Linked DNA regions of Xenopus tropicalis. The protein of the gene in region 1 interacts with the protein of each later gene in a biochemical or structural test. Links are inferred from orthologs where the notes say so. Each region holds a gene or a part of one and is shown on either strand. Other genes may lie near its edges. The genes, in order: hip1r and cltb.

The links.
Region 2: the proteins of hip1r (region 1) and cltb form a complex in vitro, tested with the Homo sapiens proteins (2 studies listed by BioGRID). The link is inferred for Xenopus tropicalis from reciprocal best matches to the Homo sapiens genes HIP1R and CLTB.

Annotation. Positions count from the first base shown.
Region 1 is NC_030677.2:161,471,202-161,483,671, forward strand, and holds part of hip1r (huntingtin-interacting protein 1-related protein), read right to left. Parts: intron 12,317-12,470; coding exon 12,228-12,316; intron 11,618-12,227; coding exon 11,501-11,617; intron 10,701-11,500; coding exon 10,599-10,700; intron 9,041-10,598; coding exon 8,846-9,040; intron 7,019-8,845; coding exon 6,871-7,018; intron 6,283-6,870; coding exon 6,196-6,282; intron 4,565-6,195; coding exon 4,457-4,564; intron 4,209-4,456; coding exon 4,072-4,208; intron 3,657-4,071; coding exon 3,546-3,656; intron 2,833-3,545; coding exon 2,774-2,832; intron 260-2,773; coding exon 229-259; intron 1-228. UniProt on the Homo sapiens protein: Component of clathrin-coated pits and vesicles, that may link the endocytic machinery to the actin cytoskeleton. Binds 3-phosphoinositides (via ENTH domain).
Region 2 is NC_030679.2:47,560,778-47,573,247, forward strand, and holds the end of cltb (clathrin light chain B), read left to right. Parts: intron 1-5,515; coding exon 5,516-5,565; intron 5,566-6,136; coding exon 6,137-6,254; intron 6,255-6,599; coding exon 6,600-6,711; intron 6,712-7,334; coding exon of another isoform or gene 7,335-7,388; intron 7,389-7,833; coding exon 7,834-8,005; 3' UTR 8,006-10,055; downstream 10,056-12,470. UniProt on the Homo sapiens protein: Clathrin is the major protein of the polyhedral coat of coated pits and vesicles.

The DNA.
Region 1 (12,470 bases):
GTAGCTGCCCCTGTGCACGGAATACCAAATAGATACCAAATCAAACACAAATTGAAAAAGGTCCCAAAAGGGACCGAAACGTCGGTTGTACATGCAATTATAATACACTAATATTTGTTTGAACCACAAGACCCTTGGTGCTGGTTGTACATACATACACACACTATTTTATTTTTTTTAAAAAACAAAAAAGATTTTGATTTTCTGTTTCAACACTTTAAAGCTTACCTTCATCAAGTCTGTACAGGAATTTAAAATTCTGTTTGAAGAAATAAAAGAAGGAATTTGAGAATAAGCCTATATGCGATTGCAAAATGCTGATTTTAAAATATTTTTACATTTTTTTAAAGGGGACCTATCACCCTAAGAAACAATTCCAAATACTTTTCCAATTCTATCAAGTTTGCCGAGATAAAAATAAACATTAAGCACACTATATACATTATTTAAAATTTGTTTTCTTCAGTTCTTCACAATTAGAGCACACAGGCAGGCACAATTTTGTGCACACCGTTATAAAAGCAAATTTTTAATCACCCCAAAATATTGTGTATGTGCCACAAAGGGGAACATAAGAGACCTACAGGGTAAAGCTCTTACCTCCAGGAGGCAGACACTTGATAGATCAAAGAGGATTTGCCAGGACTACTCCAGCTTTACCCCTAGCACTTTCTCTTTTGGATAAGTTGGTACCAAAAAAAGCTGGGCACAAGGAGAAACAAACAGAACAAAATAACTATTTTAACTAAATACAAAAAACATCCGGGTGGGATGTCCTGTGTCCCTGTCGACAATGGATTTATAGGAAAGTAAATAAATCCCATTTTCTCACACATATTCAGGGGACAGATGAGTCCTATGGGGACTTGGAGCAGCCAGAACACCCTTAACTCCTCCAACAATAGACTCAGTGCACAGCCTAGAGAGTCGGCACTCTCACAGGAATACAGAAAAAAAATGACCGGCACAGCGAGTACGATGCAAGCAGGGCTTAGCCCTTGTGTATTTAATCAAAGTTTAGCAGCACCAAGCAACAGAGAGGGCAAACAAGAGTACATATCTGGCTCAGCCATTATGAATGCAACTTCCTTGGAGGCAATAGTACCCAGGCGGTAGACCAGGTTGCTGCCCTGCAGATCTGCTTCACTGAAGCAAAATTGTGCCAGGCCCAGGAGGCCCCCTGTTTCCTTGGTGGAGTGGGCCCTATATCTGAAATCGCATTCCTAACCCTTCTGGCTATGGTTGCTTTATAGGCTGGTTGGCCAGCACGAAGGGCCAATGGAATGATGAAGAGTGCATTAGATTGTCTGATCACTCAGGTTCTACATCAGACATACCCAGACAATTTGACAAAGTCCAGTCCATGAAGACGCTTTTCTTTTGCATTCTTGGGGTCCAGACACAAGGATTTCCTGATAAAGGTGAAAGGATGACACCACTTTAGGCAGGAAATAAGGTTTGGTACGTAAGACAGCCTTGTTCTTAGGGAACACCAGCAATTGTGGATCGCAAGAAAGTTCCCCAGTTCAAAGACTCTGCGTGCCCAGGAGATGGGCATGAGGAATGTGACCCTCCAGGTGACCCACTAGAGGTCCACAGATGAGAGTGGTTAAAATGGAGGATCAATGAGTACGGCCAGCAACACGTTCAGGTCCCACATAGAAGGATGCTGTGGAAGGCTACGTGGGTAATTCCTTGCAGAAAGGATTTAATGGTGTCATCCAGGGCCAACCTGCATTGGAATAAAAGAGAGCGCAGAAACTTGTACCTGGAGGGAACTGAGTTGTAGTCCTATATCCAAACCTCTCAGCAAGAATGAGAGAATAGACAGGATAGAGAAGTCCTCAAAGGGAACTAAATTTCCTAAATTCTGTCATAGATTTTTGTGGAAACCGGTTTCCTGGCTTATAATAGGGTGGCTATGACATGTGACTGTGAAATCCTTCCGTCTCCAGATGGTCTCTTTAATAGCCATGCCATCAAATTGAACAGGCCTGGGCTGGGGCGATTGATTGGTCCCTGATGAAGTAGGCCTGCATTATAAGGCAGTGGGACAGGCACGGCAACTGACAACTCTTGGAGATTGCAAAACCTGGTTCTTCATGGCCACTACAATCACTTGTAGGTCTGGTTTTTGTATCTTTTTGTGTACCCTTGGGAGCATGGGAAGTGGAGGATGAAACACGTTTGCCAGGTAGAACCTCCATTCAGGGTTGTGTCATGGCATTAAGTCCTTTCGCTAGTGGAAATTGCTGACAGCCATGGAGAGCAGGAGTATGGAGCCCACTTACCTCTCTGTTTTGCATGTCTCCCAGCCAGAACCCCTAGTCTCCCCCAAAAGACAGGTTTTCATCTAAAAGACCGTTCTCTCTGAGAGATAGATAGCCCTGGGGGTGCGCGATCCCACATTGGGGGTTAACTGTTCCTCCCTCAATTCTAGCCCTGGGTGTCAGTGCTACTTTTTGACCAAGGGGCTCCTTGTGGTGGGTCTCACTGGTTCAGCCTCCTGTGGACAGGACACTTGAAAAACTAATCCAAAAAAGTAAGTCCTAGGTGTAAAGCTGGAGTAGTCCTGGCACACCATCTTTGATCTGTCTATCAAGTGTCCTTCCCCAGAGACATCAGAGAAAAAGAATTTAAATTTCATCTTTAATTTGCAAAATACTTTACTTATACAGCTTTTTATATGTGGGTGACAGGTCCCCTTTAATAGCTTTTCTAAAGACTGAAGAGTCATATATTTTTATTTATTTATTTTGTTTGCAAAACGCACCTCTCGTTTACTTCAAGTTTAACACCTGAGCTGTCTTTTCTAGCCTGGTTCATCATTTCCTGTTGTAGCATTGAAAAGAAAAAGTCAATATTTACAGCATAGGTGAGGTACATGAATGTGCTAAAAGCTATCGGTTAGTCTGTATAGGTATATTGTTGCAATTCATAAGGGGCCATTTACAAATGTAATGCTGATGCTGATGCTGGGTGCGAAAGAAAACCTGGAACTAACGTCTGATCAGGCTGTAACTCCAGGGTTCCTTTCGCACAGGCGCAAACAGTTGGACTTCTGCGTGCACGCATTGTGTTAATCTTCCTAAATTGGAGGCAATTACAGCAGATGCAGTGCAACTAAATTAGGCACAATGTGCAATACCCCCTTGCAACAACAATGACTTTGGAATACTAGGATAAAACTCAATGCACCCTAGGCTATATTGGATTATAATATCTAAATAAACACTGATGTGTCAGATACAGGTGAACGCCACTGTACAGCACTGTATACTAACACAGCTGTAGTGTGTTTCTGCTCCACCAGAAAAACTACATTTAAATATTATCAAACAGATACACACAAAACATTAAAATGAGATGTTGTCTGTATTTAGGAAATGCATGAGTGATTTACAAAACAGGTTCACTACTGGTTATGGATCTTTATTGGTAATGTATCTCTAGATTTGTTAGGCTGCACAAACAAAAAACCTCAATCAACATATTTGAGGAAGCTTTTTTTTTTTTTATTTGATCAAGCACTACCAGAAACTAACCTCAATCCGTCGCACAGCAGCTTCTATAGCAGCAGAGGTTGAGGCCATTTCTTTGTCCACCATGTCACCCAGTTCTTCCTGCTTGATATCCAGACTCTTAGGCCTCAATTCCTGTTAAAAAGAAACTTCAACACTATCTATCTATGTAGGTGAAATGCCTACACCGTGCTGGGCCCCCTGCAAAAAAAATCTTTGGAGGAGCCCGGTGCATTCTGCAACCCCTAAGGCAGAAGTGCGCCCAGGGAGGGGGATTTCACTACAACTGGAGAGAAAAAAAAAAAAAAAAAAGACTCTGTGGTTCGGGTACCCCTGCCACCCCCCAGTCTACATCACTGTGTTAGGTGCCCAACAGCAATGTCACCCACATATCTCAGAAGAGATATTCTATCTTAACAACAAATATATATTTTGACCTCAAAGACATAGAAGAGATAACATAAGAAACAATGGGCAATTTCTAATGTCTTATAACAGCAAGACTACAACAAACATGCAGCACAGTCAGGGTGTTTATTAAGTAGTCTACCTGTCCCAGATCAAAGATTCTCTTCAGCGATCTGTTGACTTCTGCAAGGTCTGCATTTTTTAGGGAATGTTTATTCTTTAGGCTACTTAGATAGTCCAAGCTTTGGTTTCCACACTCTTTGCAGCTGTCATTTAGCCCTGAAATTGATAGTGACAAATAAATACTGAATGCATTTCTAAAATTGATAAGGAATACTGTAAGGGGTTCAGAAAAGTAAGGGTGGCCACATGAGTGACCAAGTCATCCAATAAGAATATTTCTGAAAAATGTCCTACATGCAGACCTGTCAGACATCTCTGCAGATGTTTATCAACACCAAATGATGAGTGACTGGTGACCATCAATTCGTTTATTTACATTTTTTGGTCTAATAAGTTTTACTTACGATCAGCATGATCAGGTGGAGCCAAATGCGAAGTTGCACTGCCATTTACAATAGTGTCTGCAGTTAAGTGTGCAAACTGGGCAAGTGCTCCCACTAAGTCAGAGGCATCTTTATTAAAAACAAAATAAAAAGAAATTAAGTTTAACACTGCTAAACCATACATATCAGTATATTTAAACCGGTGTTACATTTACCCCAAACAAAGAAACTGGCAAGAAAACACACAAAATTAACAAATGGACATTTTACCCTGCCTGCCAGCTGGTATATCCACAAAATTGGATTGGGCACTGCTAGGGTTGCAGCCTCACCACTTTAATACCAGCCACATATTGAATCCACATCCTACATGGTTAACTTAGATGCCTGCTGCAGACTGAACTGATTTATGTGCAGCATGCATGTAAATTAACTGCTAACTAGCCATGCAGGATGTGGATTCAATATGTGGGTGGTATTAAAGCGGTGAGGTAGCAACCCTAGGCACTGCTGTGTTACACAGAACTAGGGTTGCCACCTCACCCCTTTATAACTGCCCACATCCTGCCTAGGTAATTAGCAATTACTTCAGATGCATACTATATGGCTGCACATAAATCAGTTCAGTCTGCAGCATGCACCAAAGTTAACTGCTAATTAGCCAAGTAAATATTTGGCTGAATTAAAGGAACAGTAACACTAAAAAATAAAAATGTTTTAAAATAATTAAAATATAATGTACTGTTGCCCTGCACTGGTAAAAGTTGTGTGTTTGCTTCAGAAAGACTACTATAGTTAATAGAAATAGCTGCTGTGTAGCCATGGGGGCAGCCATTTAAATTGAAAAAAGGAGAAAAGGCACAGGTTACTAAGCAGATAACAGATAAGTAGCAGATTCCCATTGTATTCTACACAGTTATCTGTTATCTTCTTATGTAACCTGTGCCTTTTCTCCTTTTTTCAATTTAAATGGCTGCCCCCATGGCTACACAGCAGGGTATTTATATAAACTGTAGTAGTGTTTAAGAAGCAAACACACAACTTTTACCAGTGCAGGGCAATAGTACAAAATATATTAATTATTTTTATACACTTTCATTTTTTGGTGTTACTGTTCCTTTAAAGGGTTGAGGTGGCCACTCTACACAGAACCCAGAAATATATAGTCTGTCACCTGGCACTCTAGTGTTAGTAATGCTGATTCTACCTTGTTGACAGGTAAATGATGAAGCATATTAACTGATCACCAATACTGTGACATGATACTGGTGGGATGTTGATTAGATGGCACCGAACACATTTACTGAGGTAGAAAGCAACAGGGCATGGAAAGGATCAGCCACTGCAATGTCCTCAGAAAAAAAAACATGGTAATCAAGTTACCCTTAAATGTTGGAGGCTGCATCAAAAATTGTTGGATTGAGGTGAGGGGGAGGAATAATGGAGCAGTCATACAACTTTTGCAATTTGGTGTCCTCCATCCTAGGAGAACAAGCTAAAATGGTGGCAAAGTGGCCTGAGAAAAAAAAAATGGCCGTTTTTTTTTTTTTACATAAGAATATTACTGGTTTGAGGAAAATGATTTCATTCAATAGGGGGGTTTCCTAACAAGCTGGCACCCCTTTCCCAGAGTAAACTCTGTCGCCCACAGGAAACCTGCGCAATCCATGAGCGACAAATAGCTTGTCATGTGAAACGCTGGCAGTAGAACATATGCTGGAAATGGCTTTCTCTTGCATTTGCCAGCGTATGAAACTCACCTGTCATGTTTTGTATATACTTAGCGTGTCCATTTTCAAGGTGAGGGATAGAATCCAATGCAGCTTGTGCTCTGCAGACAAGGTAATCTGCAAAAGCAAAAATAATGAAGCTTTATTCAGTGGCAAAGGGCAGCAACCAAATTTAAGTCAGGCTTTTAATTATTTCGACTTATTTTATTATTTGGTTAATAATTTAAATAAAACTTTAAAAATTTAAAAATAACTCAATTAACTCAATAGCGGCAGGTGCACTTTAACTCCAAGTGCCTTAGCTTCACAGAGATCTGCTGTATGGTTTACATTTCTGGAAGCGGATTCAGTTTAAGTATTTGTAACTGGTTATTTTTATGATGAGGGGCTAGAAACAAAATATTGAAACATTCTTGTAACTGTAAAACAATTTTTCTTAATAACAAAAAATTACTTAGTAAGATGAATGATCCCAATTAAATATTATGCACCATCCAGTAATTGTACTTTAGAAACTGGTTCTAGAAGACTGCACACAAAAAAACAAAAGCAAAAGCATGGAGCCCATTTGTGCATTATAAATGGGGAAATGTTTAGCATATCAAGTATTTAAAATACTTTTTAAATAAACTTTAAAGTAGATTGCACAGTAGTTCAAATATTCACATAAAAAGAACAAATTTAAGTTTGCTTTAAAATATGTACCTGGAGAACTGGTGCAGCGAATGTGCAAGGGGTCATCAAGTTTGGCAACAGCATCCTGAATAATATTCTCTGCTTCTCTCACGGTTCCCTGAATAATGTTAAACTGATCCTCTAACATCTTCTGATAAAGCTTCTGTTCATCAGTAGTCTTTCACAGCAACAATAAAAAAACAAATACAATTAAAACTACAAAACAAGTTACAGTTAAAAAAAGAATCTGAGCCATGAAAACTGGCAAAGTACAGTTGTGTACCCTTGGTGAAATTACATGACTTTCCAAGTGAAAATAAGTTAAAAAACTCTGCAGGTAACAAAAGTAAACATTGTTTTTGTTTAAGTTTCTTTATGTTTGCGAATAGTATGTGCAAAAGTTTAGGCACCTTTCCAGGTTTAGGCACCTTTCTAGTGTTACTGTTTAAGAAGATCACAGTAATTATATGGCTAAAACTTAAAGGAACAGTAACACCAAAAAATAAAAGTGTTTTAAAGTCATTCAAATTTAATGTACTATTGTCCTGCACTGGTAACACTGGTGTGTTTGCTTCAGAAACCCTACTATAGTTTATATAAATATGCTGTGTAGCCATGGGGGCAGGCATTCAAGATGGAAAAAAGGAGAAAAGGCACAGGTTACGTAGCAGATAACAGATAAAACACCATTGTATTCTTCAGGGTTTAGCTGTTATCTGCTATATAACCTGTGTCTTTTCTTCTTTTGAATGGCTGTCCCCATAGCTACACAGCACGGTTTATATATAAACTATAGTAGTCTTTCTAAAGCAAACACACAACTTTTAACAGTGCAGGGCAGCAGTACATAATAGATTAGTTACTTTGATACATTTTAATTTTTTAGTGTTACTGTTTCTTTAAAGGAGAAGAAAAGTGCAGCCATTTGGCACCACAAGTGATTTACAATCACTTGCCTAATACCCTGGGCCATTGCTCCTGTTAGAGGAAAACTGCACAGGCCCAAAGTTTTATAGTGAGCAACACAAAGCCATCCTCGTCTTCCTTCTTCAGTCCCCTGAGGCTGACACATGCACAGCCAGATTTTTTGTTAAAGTTTGGATTTTCACTGTATTGCACATATTTTAGGATAATGTTGCCTAAACAGGGAGAGCCATTTCTTGTTGGGCTTGTGGAGGCCCAAGCCTTCCATAAGCTGGAGTAATACAGTTTCCAGCCTATGGAAAGATCATACTGTGCTCTCTCTCTCGGTATATGTGGCAGTACAGAAGCTCTTTAACAAAATCAACAGTGCAGCGCTGCATTAATAGTAATAACATGTTCCATACAGTTTATATGTAAGGCCAAAAATCCAAACATTTTCTAATTGCTTGCAACAAAACACTTCAATTTCCAATAAAAACCCATTAGAAATTATCTACTTTTATGCCACCAAATGCTTTCTTGTTTTTTCCTAACTCCTTCATTATTATTCACAGAAATGCAAAATGTTACTGTTTATAAGTTTGTTCCCTACAGAGTTTATGCTAACCTCTTAGCAAATATGCATGTACTTTGACCAGGGGTGCCAAAACTTAACAAAATGCTTTTCTGTTTGTGACAAAAATTCAAACCTTTTGCAAAATCCCACCTAGAGAAAATAATTTGTGAAATTGCAGTCATTTGCAACGTTAATATACAAGCTTGGAGACTGGCTAGAAGCCACACACAGCATACAAAAAATTATAAGGAACACTATGGGCCAGGAGTTCAATGATTATCACACTATGATAGAGCACCTTTAGTTACTAGATGGCATTTCATTAGAAAAATATATTTTTTATTGAAATGTATTATATTGCTCTGTAACCAACATTAAATATAATGCCTAGCATTTATAACTAGAAGCCCATATAAGGTTTTTAAAATCATACATATTGCTCAGTACTGATGCAGCTCTTACTTTAGTTGGGAACGGAAATGTAATTCTACATAAACAGTATAATATGTTTTCAAATTCAGACACCTTTTTGTTGAGTTTTTCGTGCAAGTCTCTTATTTCACTGGCTTTCTTTTCTTGCTCTTGATTGAATAAAGTCTCTGTATCTCGAGCCAGGTTTTGAGCAGAAGACAGTTCCGATTCCTTAGTGGTCAACAAACTTTTTAGAGTGTCCTTCTCCACTTCTAGTGACATTAATGTTGAGTTAAGCTGGGATTTAGACTGAAAAATGTTCAGAAATGCAGTGTTAAATGTATGCATATAAAGATAAGCCATTAATAAGTTTAAAAGAGAAAAATGTAGGTAAGCTATGCATGCAATGCTCCGGTCACAGAATTTAGTAATTTCTGACTAAACTGTTATGACCCGTGGTCCATGTTAGAGTCTTATCCCCAAAAACTTTGATATTAGATATGTGACAAAACTGCACAATATTCAGTCACGTTATACAAACCAAAATGTTAAAAGCTGGCTAGTAACATGAAAAACAATATATATGTAAATATACATGTAAAATAAATGTGGTAATTAGTGATGTGAGGGTTGGCTCAAAACCCACAGGTTCAGGCTAAACAATTGCCCTGCAGCGTGTTGCAGACAGGCTGCAATCCTCAATTACTGCTATCCCAGCACCTCCTACCTTCCAAGCTGTCCCAACCCACTATTGTCAGTGTTGAAACTGCATGCCACTGTTATTTATATATATATATGCACGCCCGCCAAATGTTCCCTCTAAGCTGTGTGCTTGTGAGTGCACACACAAAGTTTGAGACCAGCACACAAAAATTGTGGTGCGAAAACACAATTTTGTATACTGCGCACTGTTTTTTTACAGTGCACATGCAGCATTTAAAAAGTGTGCAAAAAATAAATTTCTTCAAACATAGCCAAGAAGAAATTAGAGGGATCCTTAATGCCTGCCTTACCCCCTTTAATGATAGATAATGGATGGGTCAGGTGCGGGTATATATCATTGCAGCGCATTGGGCCAGGATGGTTTTAGGTTGGATGAGGGTGGGGTTAAGGTCAGCAGGAATAGTACTTTAAGGAATAGCCCCTTTGTAACACCAGTGTGCCTTGTTCAACACTTTCAGTACCATCAGCAACTTGATTCTTTTTATTACCCTTTCCTCATTATCCTGTGGCCTACCTGCCTTTCTTATCGCCTCCTGTCTTTTAGACTTCCTCAATTTGTTATGCTAAGCTTTTCTTTTGCCATATTTTAAAATATTGTTCGATTTAAAAGTGGAGTAAATGTGATACCTTTATTGACTAACTAATATGATATTTACAGCAAACCTTCTTCAAAGCTGATTAACTGAAATGTTCTGAAAGCTTGCTGTGATTATCATATTAGTTATTCGATAAAGAACCTTTATGCCACTTGTTATGTTTCATACCAAAAGTTGCACTTGAAAGAATTATAACGGGCTAACATGGTAAAAATCATTTACCTGAAACTTTATTATTATTTATTTCATAAACTTTTTATTTAAGGTTGCAGATTAGCATGTAGATTTTCACATAAAAACACAGGATAACAGCAACTTGATGAGAACTAATTAGACTACTATTAAAGCTATGGTTTTATTGAAATTGTCCTCAATTGCACACTCCACTTAAGCGAGATAACAGCACAAGGTGTGTGGATCAACCTATGCAAAACTGGCAGGTTTTAAGTTTTCCAGTTGATTTGCAAAATCCTTCTTATAATTACTATTAGCAAATCATATATCAATAACCATTGTCTTTTGTAACCACAGTGATACACACTACCTACCTCCTCAGTACTTGATAGAGATTGCTGGATAAGTAATAACTCTTTTTTCTTTGCTTCAATTTCTGATTTCAGTTGTTCAGTCTGAAAACTTTGGTCCTCCAACTGGATTTAAAAACAGGCAAATGAAAGAAAACATTATCTGCATGATTATTTGTTTCTCGAAATCTGGCAGAAAATATGTGCATTGCACTTAATATACGAGATGAATAAGGACCGGTTTTAACCGATCTATGTAATTAGAAAGAAAAGAGCTTTTATTGGCTCGTGTATGGACACCTTTTGGTTAGAAATGTTACACTTTTTTTGATTTAGGCTTCTGTACCAGTTCATAGCCACCACAGCCATTTAGCAATGTAAATAGGAAAATGAGGTATTTTTCTAAAATGTAAAACATAGGCAGAATGTAATTTCAAGTCCTATACAGGTATTGGACCCCTTATCCGGAAACCCATTATCCAGAAATTCCGAATTACAGAAAGGCCATCTCCCATAGACTGCATTTTAATCAAATAATTCACATTTTTAAAATGATTTCATTTTTCTCTGTAATAATAAAAAAGAACCTTGTACTTGATCCCAACTAAGATATAATTAATCCTTATTGGAGGCAAAACAATTCTATTGGGTTTAATTACTGTTTAAATAATGGTTTTAGCCGACTTTACTTCGGAGATCCGAAGTACGGAAAGACCCCTTATCCGGAAAACCCCAGGTCCCAAAGCATTTTGGAAAATGGGTCCCATACCTGTATATAGTGCTCATTTTTACAAAGGTGTTTTAGGTGTATGCTTGGGTTACAAAGCTGGTTGCCTTCTATGTATTTGTTCTGTAATAAACGTTCAAGAGTATATATCTAAGATAGCTTAAATCACATTATTAACTAGAAAGCCACTTTAAATAACCTTCAAATCTGATTCTCGTTTCACTTGATCCATCTGAAATTCCAGCTCTTCTTTGATACGTGCCACCTCTTCCTGATTTTGTTGTGACACTGTTAACTGTTTTGCTGTATCAGCATTCTGTACAAAAAAAAAAATAAAATAAAAGATGGAAGCTTGTTTTGAAGTCCTTTAACAATAAAGTAAATGTTTATACTCCTTACATACATTAATGTTAAATTAACTTTACACCACCTTTTCAAATATCCACAATTTATTTAAATAAGTGAAATAAATAGGATCAATGCAGTGTTAATGCTCATGATTAGCTCAAGTGTTTGCATTCAGTTGTGTAATTCACAGCTCTATAGGATAAAAAGGCAATTTACTAATGTTGACCATCAAATTCACCCAGTTTTCAGTGGAAATTTAGTAAAACACTTCAGGGAGTTACAATGACTAAAAACATAATTATAAGGAATAAATAAATCCTATTTACACAATGATAATCAGGCAAATGAGAATTAAACAGATTAAAATGTATTAAAACATTTCTGAAGGAGTAGTTACAACTCAGTAAGCAATTTATTTTTATAACCAACAGAAAACTTTTCAAACAAGCATCAGTTGTGCCTTTTTGGAGTTTTTAATCAAATTACATTAATAAATAAAAATTATCTTTGTTATTTCCAAATTCACAAGTTACAAAAGGAGACAAAGAACAAATCTGATATAAAATAAAATTAGCTACCTTTCTAAGAAGTCCAGCGTGGGTATTAATGAGCTCATTGTGCTTTTCTTTCAGTTTGGTATAGCGTAACTCTGTGGCTTGTATCTTCTCTACCAAAACACAATTGAATGTATAATTTAGAAGTTCTGCATATTTTTAAAAAAAACCTGCCCACAATTGGCACACACATATTTAGTTCTTTATACATTTCAGTTAAAGAACACCTAAAGGTGGCCATACACGCTAAGATCTGCTCGCTTGGCG
Region 2 (12,470 bases), on another chromosome or scaffold:
GCACTATCATCTCCACCACCAGAGGAACTTAACAACCCATCCTCAGAACAAGAGGGTGCATTACCAGAAGGGAAGAGCGATTGGGAGGACAATGACTCCTTACCTGCAATACAGAATTCACACATATCTCAATCAGATGCACTACTTTTTGACATGTTCCAAACCCTGGGTATACAGGAGGAACAACAAGAACTCATAACATCAGATAAACTCTTTGGGTCAACACAAAAAAAGCAAAGCTGCTTCCCCGTACATGACACTGTCACTGAAACCATTCAAAAGTAATGGAACACCCTGTATAAACGTTTGGACACCCTTTACCCCACATACCAAACACACAGAGACAAATGGGATGCCATCCCTAAGGCTGACGCTTGTCTACTTAAAAATAATATCTCCTGCTCCACCTCTGCATTCAAGCCTACCATCGCCTTGGCCTGCATCTCCAGTTTTTTAGTACTCTGGTTGGCAGTTTCTGTTTTTTTATTGAGGAATATTGTTATCCCATAAGATTAGAGTTATCCCAGATGCACATATGTCCATGATAGATGCTAGCCATTCATGTGTGGATTTTTTTCGCCACACTATAATTCACATTGCCATTGATTTTAACATCACTCCAATGTCTTGACAGCTGCATTGTTTGCTCAGGGGACTCCAGTAGAGGTTTATCACCCTGATCACCCCCTGCAAACAACTCACATCTTAACATTCATCTTTTTATCCAGATTGGGCTGAATACAATCAGTGACATCCCTGCTTGAATAAACTGAATAATTGCCCCTTTTGCCAAACAATTGGATCAACCCAGTATTGCCCAGGTGGGCATATTAGAGAAAGATAGACTTATTTGGCCACCTTTAGGGCTCTGGCACACGGGGAGATTAGTCGCCCGTAGTGCTGGGCGGTATGACCAAAAATTTATATCACGGTATTTTTCAAAATTATATCGGTATCACGGTATTTGACGGTATTTTTTTTTCCCCATGCATGATTAGGTGACCACCCCAAACACCCCCCCATCCGCACGCAGCCCCCCCACCCCCCCATCCGCACGCACCCCCCCATCCGCACGCAACCCCCCCACCCCCCCATCCGCACGCACCCCCCCCACCCCAAACACCCCCCCATCCGCACGCAGCCCCCCCACCCCCCCATCCGCACGCAACCCCCCCACCCCCCCATCCGCACGCACCCCCCCCACCCCAAACACCCCCCCATCCGCACACACCCCCCCCACCCCACCCCAAACACCCCCCCATCCCCTTCACATAAATATAACCCCCCACCCCCCCCCAAACACAACCCCATCCCCTTCACATAAGTATAACCCACCCACCCCCACCCCAAACACCCCCCCATCCCCTTCACATAAATATAACCCCCCACCCCACCCCCCCCAAACACAACCCCATCCCCTTCACATAAAATATAATTACTGGCCAGGCACCCCCCGACAGCTCACATTGGTATCCGACTCTGAATGCGTCCTAGCGATGGCGCTTTTGTAGAGTGTGCGCGCTGACGTCACGTGCGCGCTGACGTCACGTGCGCGCTGACGTCACGTGCGCGCTGACGTCACGTGCGCACCCGGAAGTATTCAGCACACCGGTATGTAGAAAATTCATATCGGTTTCAAAAAAAAAACCGGTGATCGGTTTTTACCGGTATACCGCCCAGCACTAGTCGCCCGCAACAAAACTCCCTGTTCGCGGGCGACTAATCTCCCCGAGTTGCCTTCACCTGCCATCCCACCGGCGACAATGTAAGTCGCCGGTGGGATAGCACACGCGGCGGCGCGATTTCGCACAAATTGGCCAAAAATCCTTGCGAGTCTTTTTCGGCGATTTCCCGAAATCGTGCCGCCGCGTGTGCCATCCCACCGGCGACTTACATTGTCGCCGGTGGGATGGCAGGTGAAGGCAACTCGGGGAGATTAGTCGCCCGCGAACAGGGAGATTTGTCGCGGGCAACTAATCTCCCCGTGTGCCAGAGCCCTTAGCCTCCTAAAAAGCAAGTGACGTGTTGCTGGACATATTTTGCAATATCGCCGAAAAAAAAGCAAGTGACGTGTTGCTGGCCATATTTTGCAATATCGCCGAAAAAGACTCGCAAGGCTTTTTGGCCAATTTGTGCGAAATCGTGCCGCCGCGTGTGCCATCCCACCGGCGACTTACATTGTCGCCTGTGGGATGGCAGGTGAAGGCAACTCGGGGAGATTAGTCGCCCGCGAACAGGGAGATTTGTCGCGGGCGACTAATCTCCCCGTGTGCCAGAGCCCTTAGCCTCCTAAAAAGCAAGTGACGTGTTGCTGGACATATTTTGCAGACTGAACCTGGAATTTTACAATGTTATTAATTTTACAAGCATCCATGCATAATACTGTATATTCTTTCTCTAAGAATGGGGATTGGCCTCTATAGTAAGAAAACCATGTTTAAAAAAATTTGAATTAAAAAAAAAAAAAACCAGCCACTGATATTTAAGAATATATATTTTAACATTTACAAATAGGACTATACAAATTTGTAACATTTATAGCCTGATTGTCTCTGATTGTTCTTTCTGATAGCTGCAGTTACCACACAGAATAAATACTAAGGAATTGCACTGATCACTGATGCCATTTTTTCCACCATTAGCTGTGTGTTGTCACAGTGGAGCTACAAAATGAATGAGAGAAGGTGTGACATTCCGCATTGCTAACCTCAGCTGCCTGCTATTATAAGGAATAGGTAACAACATTGTCTCTCTTTATATATAGGCCCCCTAGTCACTGATTAATCTCTGAGTAGAAAAGACCTTGAAGGAAATTGTCTTGGAAACACAAATGCCCTTTGATCTGCAGGAGCGGTTAAACCAGTGGTTCTCAACCTTCCTAATGCCGTGACCCTTTAATACAGTTCCTCATGTTGGGGTGACCCCCAACTATAAAATTATTCCTAAGACCATTGGAAATATGTGTTTTCCGATGGTGTTAGGCGACCCCTGTGAAAGTGTCATTCGACCCCTACAGAGGTCCTGACCCACAGGTTGAGAACCGCTGGGTTAAACCCTTTTATTACATATTTCAGTTTCCTTCTAATATCTATATATATAAACAGAAGTAGCTGCTACCTGGATTTTAGACATGACCCAAATTTTTTAGCGACTTTATGACCCTAACCTAGTAACATATTGATATATGGGTGACTATTCTCAAAGCTGATTAGTGGCATTGCTTAAGATAATAGAAGGGGATGGAGCAGATTGATGAAATAATCTAATCTCATGGCTACCAGTAGTGGGTATGTTTTGTAGTCCAATAAGCAATGCCACTAATCCGCCCTGGAAATAGTAAGCCTTTGACCCATATATCAATATGTTACTAGGTGTATTTGTGATTGTTCTACATGGAATAAAGATGTTACTGTACATAACTGCCTTTCAAGGCAGAGTCTACATTTATCTCCAGCAATACCTTTGGTGCTATCCACATGTGGTCTTATTTCTATACTATCAGATGTTTAATAAAAACTAATATTTTAAATTAAAAAATAATTTCACCTTTTCATATATGGTCAGTGACTACTTTTGCCCATCAGTGGTGTATGCGGAGTATCTTGTGAACTGTCACTCTAGCGCCATCTAGTGCTCATTCATTTTCCTTATGTAACTCAACTATGTGGTTTGTGCTACGTGTATGAGGTCTGACACATCTCCTGAACACACCACAGCAACAGAGCTGGTTAGTACTTATATTCACAGGAGTGCTGTGTGGTTTATTGTCAACTACATTTAAGAATCTTTGCAGCACATATGCTAACACTTTACTATCTTGATCCTCAGGGCATTGCATGTATTACTTTTCCAGTATTCCAAATCACCTTGGTGGTAGCACAGATTAATATCTGCTTGTTTGGATTGTGGATATTTTTCTGTGTATCTGTACCGTGTTGTATTTCATTTTTTATCTTCTATGAAGGCTCATTCATCTAAACTTTTGTTTTATTTGAACAATATTTTTGGTTTGGTCTCGTACTACGGATAAGCTATGCTGTCATCTTTACCTTTTTCCGCCATTTTGTGCTTAATAGTCATTTGCTGTGTAATTTTCACGTTGAGAAGCTAGACAAAACATCAGTCTCCCTCAGTAAAATTTCGGTATTTCTTCATAAGACCTGTGAGTGCGGATCTCTCTACCTGCTTCATTCAGATTCTCCTGCAGCGTTCCACCTTTCAAAAGTGAGTGCTGGACACAATTAACACATATATACACAATATACAAAAACAAAAAAAAATATTATGTCACCAAAGAGTTTTGTAACCAAGCTGTTAATAAGTAAACATGGAGATAATGACACCCTAGAGAGTCTAGACTGATAATCATTTTTTTTATAAAGCATCACTAAGCATTTCCAGCTCACTAAAGGCTAGGTAGTGCACCATAAAGCTCATGAGTTATTTTTGGCTGTTTGCTCATAGGGAAATTAAAAGATATGCAATTAAACATTTGTATTAAACATAACCACCATTTTGGGATATACCTTTTGATACAATAATTTTACCTTAGAATCATTTTAATACAGTATAAGGTTTTAAACTTCTAGTGCCATAGACAATAAATTGTTCAGTGCCGACTCTCCAGGACTGAATTGTAAAATATACAGGGATACTGTGTTTACATGGAAGGATATCAGTGGGTAATTCACCAAGCATCACTTTTTGTGTAAATGTGTTACTTAGCTGGCACAGAAGCTGTAGGAAAAATAGCTTTCTTTTAAAGAGGCTTTATTTATGGTAATGCAGCAAATTAGCTTACGGTAGAGTGAGATTTGTTTGGAATGAGCAAGTGTTGATTTTATATTTAGTATCTATACTTATACCTGGTGTGTCCTTCACTGCATAAATCACAAAGGCACAGTAAGCCATTTATGTATCATAAGAGATGAATGCATAATGTTATGCTTGATGCATGGTATTCAATAGCTGTGCCCTCGAATGATTAATACATTAATTTTTTTTTCCATAAAATTCTCTTTATTTCCCACACTGCTCAGACAGTTTTCAGTCCATCACTTGTGGGTTGAATTAATCACTTCAGTCCTGTCAGGAAGAACTATCAACTATCAAAATGGTCTTGTCCCCCTGCTACTGCTTCTCATTCACTTGAACAGGGAATGCGCCACCTATAGCAGAAACGGGTGCCAGTTGGAAAGTATCACTAGACAATGCAGATGCCCAGGTTTGCAAGGAACACTTTTTGAGCAATGCAAGTGTCAGGCATACTCAGCATGTTTCCAGTGCTGGGGCAAGATACTTGTAATATGCACAATACAGCAAATAAAAAATGTACCTCAAAATATTTGTCAGTCATGTGATATAAATGTGTCATGTTAAAGGCTCTGATTTTCATCTGAAACCTCAAATGTCCAAAATGTTTACCATATTACCATGTTATTTTAATAGCAAGCACAAACCTTTTTATTTTGTTTTAGTTACCATTCCATTAAACTCCATTTTTTTGTGCTTGCAGTGGATTTCAATGACTTTGGGACCATCCCAATGAATGGAGAACTTTACCAGGTGAGTTTATCGCCAAAGGAAGATGTCTAGGTTAGTGGAATGTGAGAGATATCATTGGGTGATTCCCCAAGCATCATCACTTAGTGTGTAAATGATATAGTGTGCAATTTTAATTCTAATAGTAGTTTGGTTTTCCAATAAAATATATGTTTCTCGGATACTGAATGCTGCTGTGGCACAAGTGAGCAGGACATTGTACGTGTGTGATCCTAACTCTAATAATATGGTATTATTTACTAATTATCCCTCTACAAATACTTTGTGTTATGTAAAGACATCTTTAGCAACTTTCTCTCTTTATGTTGTTATACTGTACATATCCACTAATAATCACTCAGTGCTAGGATGAAGCTTTAACACACTTCACTTTATATAACTTAAAGCAAAGTAGCTTGAAGCCCATCTGCCGCATTGTAAAGTTTGGTACTGAGCCAATTGTGGCCCTAAGTTTGCAGCTGGGGGAATTTTGCACCCAGGCCTGTGGGGCTATATTTAAACCTCTAGGTCCAGGCTCCAGGTTTGCTCACTTTAGCTACATTTTTAACATGTTTTTATGTCTTTCCATTGCCAGGAGACTTCTGATTATTCTGATGGATATGCAGCAATAGCACAGGCTGATCGATTGACCCAGGAGCCAGAAAGCCTAAGGAAATGGAGAGAGGAGCAGAAAACACGCTTAGAGGAGCTGGGTAAGTGCTATATTTAGTTTAGAATTCAGTGCACATAGTACCTTGCTCAGTTTGTTGCATGTCAGCTGACAAGCACTTGTACTGATGCTTTCAAGCAACTGTGATAGAGGGAAAAGAAGGGTCGATTTCCGACTAATAATAATAATAATAATATAATAATAATAAACAGAAATATGTGGACTAGCTGGTGCCATTATACTTCAGCCTCTGGAAAATCATATACAGATTAATCATGGTATTTATAAAGATCAAAGAATGATAGACAAGATGAAAGAGAGAAAGCTGTAAAAGAAAACGTTGGAAGAGGTATTGGAAATATTATAACCTCTTGTTTGTACCTTACAGATGCAGCCTCAAAAGTAACGGAGCAGGAGTGGCGAGAAAAAGCCAAAAAAGATTTAGATGAGTGGTATCAGAGACAAAGTGAACAGATAGAGAAAAACAAAGTATCAAACAGGTAAAGTATCAGTGCTTATAGCTGGAAAGAAGTGTCCTGGCCTGGAGTAATGTGCAGCCTGTATTTACTAAATATAAACTTTGTATATGATTATATATATCTGGCATTGGAGAAGGAGATGTGGAAGAAGTGGTTATACTGTAGGTTGTCAATGCAACATCATAAGAGCAGAGGATCTGTGATTATGTATTATTACAGGCTGTACTGGCACAACTATATGTAATACAGGCCCTGTACTGTACAGTGTCAGACAGCATATTAAACTGAATAAAGATGTGAGCTGATAGAATCCAATGGCAAATCAGGTTTTGTAATCCATTACCCCACATTGTTGCTTCCTTTAAAATGCACCACAAGGGGGACAAGTAGTGACAGTAGACTGGGTTTTAGGAAAGGAGAACATGGTAAGGGATGATACACTAGGCCTGCGCAAAGTTGCTGTTACTTTCCTTCAGTCTGTTTCTATTATAACACAGCATCAGAACCTGTAACTTTGCACTGTTTTTCCCTCTTCTTGTTGCTAACGTTACTTCTTGACATCTAACTCAGTCTCTTCTCTCCTGTACCCAATGTCTTCCTCTTTCTCTCTCCTTTTTGTCCTGTTTTGCATGCTGATAACCAAGGATTGCGGACAAAGCATTTTACCAGCAGCCTAACGCTGAAGTTATTGGTTACGTGTATGTTCCTTTTTTTCAGCATGTTTTTTTTCATGGGATTATATGTTAAATGATCATTAAAGGGGAACTTAAATTTCATTTTAGATTCAAAATTTTAGGGAATTTGTATTTTCTATATAACAATTTATGATGAATTTTTAACATGTTTTCAATATTTCTTTTAAACACACCCAAAACCACTTGGCAAGTTCCTGCCAATTCCTGTCTGCTTTATTGCACAGGATAATAAAGTTTTATTGTATTATGACTTATGTACCTGTTTCCTTGTGCCCAGTTTGTGTTGTGATCCTAGTATTTAAGGTTATTTAAACAATGGGTATGCTAATGCTACCAGCTAGTTCTGTGCATTTACAGTATTGCAACAAGAGATGTAACATAAAGCAGACCCAATGTTTTCCAGTGATTATGGTTTTGCTGACTTCTCTTCAAATTTCTCTTTAAACAGAGCATCGGATGAAGCCATGGCATCAGATACAAAGGAAGAAGAAACTGGCACAGAATGGGAGAGAGTTGCCCGCCTTTGTGACTTCAATCCTAAGAGCAGCAAACAGTCAAAAGATGTATCTCGCCTACGATCAGTCTTAATCTCCTTAAAGCAGACACCTCTATCACGCTAGCTTTGCCTCTCCTTTACGCCTCACTCCCCTGCTTTACATGATACCAAAGAAACCATACCTTGAAGGCCCAGGGCAATTAACAGTATATTACACCTACTGTTGAACAGGCCGTTTATTTTTCCCCACAGTGCAGAAATCTACTAAAATAGAAACTAGTTCCAAAATGTCCTTATTTTAGGTTGTTTTCATATAAAAAAAGGCATATGTTGAATAAGAATCTTAGGTTAGAGTACCTAGAGAACCTTAAGTTTTCCCTGAGAACCTGAAAAGGTTGCTTGTTTTTAGTGGTGTATACAGCACAACAGGGGTTGCCTGAATGAAGATGAAACTAGTGTATAAAGTGTAAATCATCCCATAGGTGTCTTGACAGGTAGAGATTGCATGTTAAGAAGGTTCATTTCATAGCAGAGGATTCTACACATATGTACTTGCACCTTTAAGCTTTTTCCAGCAACACAGGTTCAATCATTTTTGTAGCCATTATGTCTTAACCGCCAGCAATAGATTCGTTATGTACAGTTTCAATCATCAATAACAAGAGACACTAAACTTTCCCTGAGATTGGCAAGTCAAAATACAAGGACTGGTTGTAGGCAGTAAGCCATAACGATTAAAGGGGGTGTAAAGTGCATATATAGATTATTGGCACTAAATTAAACAACTTTGTTATGTTATATGTTAATATGTCTGTTTAAAAGCTTTGTACTGTTTTGAGATACAAGTGATCGTTTCTGCAGCTTTCTCTCCTCTCCCTTGATCACGTTCCCTCTTGAAGTTAAGCAGCGGCTTGCTGTCCAGCTCTTAAGTGATTTATGGGCTGCCCCTCCGAAGCTTAACTGCTCATAACTACTTATAGGGGTCAAGGGTGGCCTTACCCTCACATATATATACTTGGTGAGGAACTGCTGCCCCTAAGAACACCAGGGAGTAGGACGGTCAGTGGGTGTTGAACTTCAAGGGGGATCACAATCAAGGGAGAGTAGAGAAAGCTGCAGGAACGATCGCTTGTATCTCAAAGTAGGTACGAACGTTTTAACAGACATATAATGCAAAATTGTTTAATTTAGTGTTAAAAATCTATACACGCATTTTAAAAATGACTTTACATCCCCTTTAAATGACATGTAAACCCCACACAAAAAATGTATACAGTGAACAGTCTCTTTAACATCTTTTAATACCTGCTACTCTGGTTGTTTAAAGGTTAATAGTAAGGTTGCAGCTTCCCCCTGTAACCCACTCGGCTCCTCTCTCAGGAATTTAGTTTGGCTGTAGGCTACTGAGCATGCTCAGTTTTAAACATTACTAAACACGCTCTCCAATCTAGCCGCCAATGAAGAAATAGTGTTGCTGGTTTTCATAGAAACTCTTCTCTAGCTTTCTGCTTCTATTTTTTTTTCCTAACCTCCTGTCCTGAGCTCAGTTTAAGCATTACAATGCTCAATCCAAGCAGGGCTTTTTATTAAAGTAAGTTCTGCCTGTGTAAGCCTGCATTTTTTTTATTAAATTTACACTGAATTTTGTGCACATGTGCTGTTTGCAGAAGTAAATGTCACTGATGATGTGTCAGAGGGAAAATGGCTGCCAGTTGAATGCTGCTATTTGTTTAAGGAAAATGCAATGGTGCTGGTGAACTGAGGGGATATATGCAGTACAAATGATGCAGTTCAGGTGGGAGAAAAGTGCACAACTTATACATGCTAGGAAAATTTTAGGGTTTGCATGCTGTTTAAAATCTGTACTCATCAAGCACTACCAACCATTTAAATTCCATCATCAATAAGTCATTAAACAGTTTCTAGAAATAATAAGGCCTCTTCCATAAGATACCATGTTCAAATTTAGGGGATCTGGAACAGTTAATAAATAAGTTTGGACTGTTAATAATTTCAAAAGACTCTACAAATGGGGCATTTTGCATCAGTGTTTGGTAAGCGTATTCTGTTTGTATTGCTTATTCACCTGAGTGTTGTGTTTTAAATGACAGGGGGTGGGATGTTTTTATTATGTCTAAGTATTGCATTCTAAAATAAAGATAAGATTGGTGATAGAAATAATTTATTGCTGTAGTGTAGTTGTAATTATTTTTGTGTCTTTCATAATATAATACAACATCCTTTTCCATACAATAGAGCAATAACACAGGAAGCCCACCGCAACGCATCTCTCAGAATTCATTTAAAGCCACATTCTGTTCTCATGATCATAATGGAGTACTTTTATAAATTTGTTGTGAACTTGTATTTGTCCTGTGTGTATAGCAAGATGGCTTTTCACTTTATATTTTTCTGTACCTATGTTATTAAGGGAATGGAGGGGCTCCTGAATAAATGTTTGACCACAAATGCGGGAATGAACCCAGAAAATCAGGGACGCAGGCACTGTCATGGGACTATTTATCTAGGGGTCGGCAAGTTAATTTTTTCTTAGCTTTGTGAATAAATATGTGTTGCCCCATTGTAGAGGTAGATGCCTGACACTGTAGACCAGACTAAGCCAATGAAACTGGTAAAGAAATCCAGACTTGCTTCAAATCTACTGAGTTACCGTCAAGGATTTTGAAAAATACAAGTGTACTTTAAATATACTCCAAAAAGAATCAAGGGAATTGGGCCATGGCACATATTTGTTGCCTGCAGTTAAATCTGCTCTGGCAACAAATCTCCAGGAAATGACTTGCCATAGCATAACATTGGGATTACTGTAAAACATTACTTACAGTGATCTGTCTTAGGAAAATGCGAAGGGAGGCAATATAATCTTGTTATAATCAGTATAATCTAAAATAAAATGCTTATTTGTGTAAACAAGTAAATATATGCAAACTGTGAGCATTTATTAAGCACCCTGTTATTAAATAGCACATAAATGGAGACCAACACAGATATTTGCTTTCAGTAGTTTCATGATGATTCCATTCAGTACATAAATGATGTATCTGTATATTATTTACTGGGTTTTTGGGGGTGTAAAGATTTTGGTAGGTCTGTCCTTGTTTCCCTCAATCTCTCGCTTAATTTATGAAATCCATAATGAGAAATGTGTTGTAATAGGAATGTAAACAACCCCAATGTGCTATTAATTGATTAATGTTGTCTGCTTACTCTGTGTCACATCAATAAAATGCCAATAAGTCTGCCTGCACTAGTTATTCTTCTCAAGACTTTTATAACTACTAACTGGTAGGTAAATTGCTGATAGTGTGTGACGTATCGAGAATAGTCTTATATTTGTGTCCTCTACAATAAGGGCTGTGGCACACGGGGAGATTAGTCTCCCCGATATGCCATCCCACCAGCAAGAATGTAAATCGTCGGTGGGATGGCATACGCAGCGGTGCGATCGCCGAAGTTGGGCTTGTTAAAATAAATAACTCCTCCTCTACAATAAGGAAAAGGCCATGGACTAAATGTCTCTTTTTATGATCAGTAAAAAAAAAGGTTATTAGTGAAAGATTTGGAAAAAAAATTGCAGGAATTTTCAATAGTTTGCACTGTGATCACACACACACACACACACTCCTTATTGGAAGTTGTAGCCGATGAAGAAGAATAGCCTCTCCTACACCTCCCACAAGCGAAAAAGAACCTGTGACTGGGCTGGCTCTGAAGAGGAGTGGCAGGAGTGTGTAGTAGATTAGTTCCCACAAGCTTTGCAACCAAAGTTGAATTCAGGCAAGGGTTAGAGGTAGGCAGCAAAGATTCCGGGTCCAGAAACATTAGCACAGGCTGTGTCATAGGACATGTGTGCCATGCTGAACCAGGAAGTGTGTGCCTACCCAGGCTCCAAATTGTGGGGAAAATCGATTTGTTTGAAAAACTTTCACAAATGGGAGAAAAATGTAACATGGGAAAAATTGGAAATTTAAACATAAGAACTATTTAGAGGTTTTGCACTTTATTGTAGCTGTGTAAACAAAAAGCTGTACTGTAAGTGGGACTGACTGTGACTGTGTGAAAATAGTCCCACACAGCCATTTAACGGAACTGAACACTGAACTCAAAATGACAGGCCATGCTATCACCCCACTGCCCCAGGAAACAGAATCCAGCATGGCAGCAGCGTCTCTTGTTGAAGCTTCTTTTAGTCTTCAGAGTTCTTAGGATGGAGGCACATGCTGGCGCTGTTGCAAGATAATAGTAAGTGTGATACCTATGGGATATATGACAAATGACTGCCCATTTGCTACAGGCCTAGTGATTGACAGTGACAACAATGGCAAGTGATTGGAGATAATGCTTAGCTTTCTCTATTTGTTTCTGAGATGAGCCACTAAAAGAAAAAAATAATGTAACAATATCAAATTTCAAATTCTTTTCCAGGGAACTAGTTTATTTAAGATCCATATTTTGTGAAGATCTCTCTATATTGTATAAGATGATACAATATGTTTACCAATATGTGTACCATGTTTACCTGTATGTTTTCTTGAACACTAATAAAAAACAAAAAAAAAATCCAGATT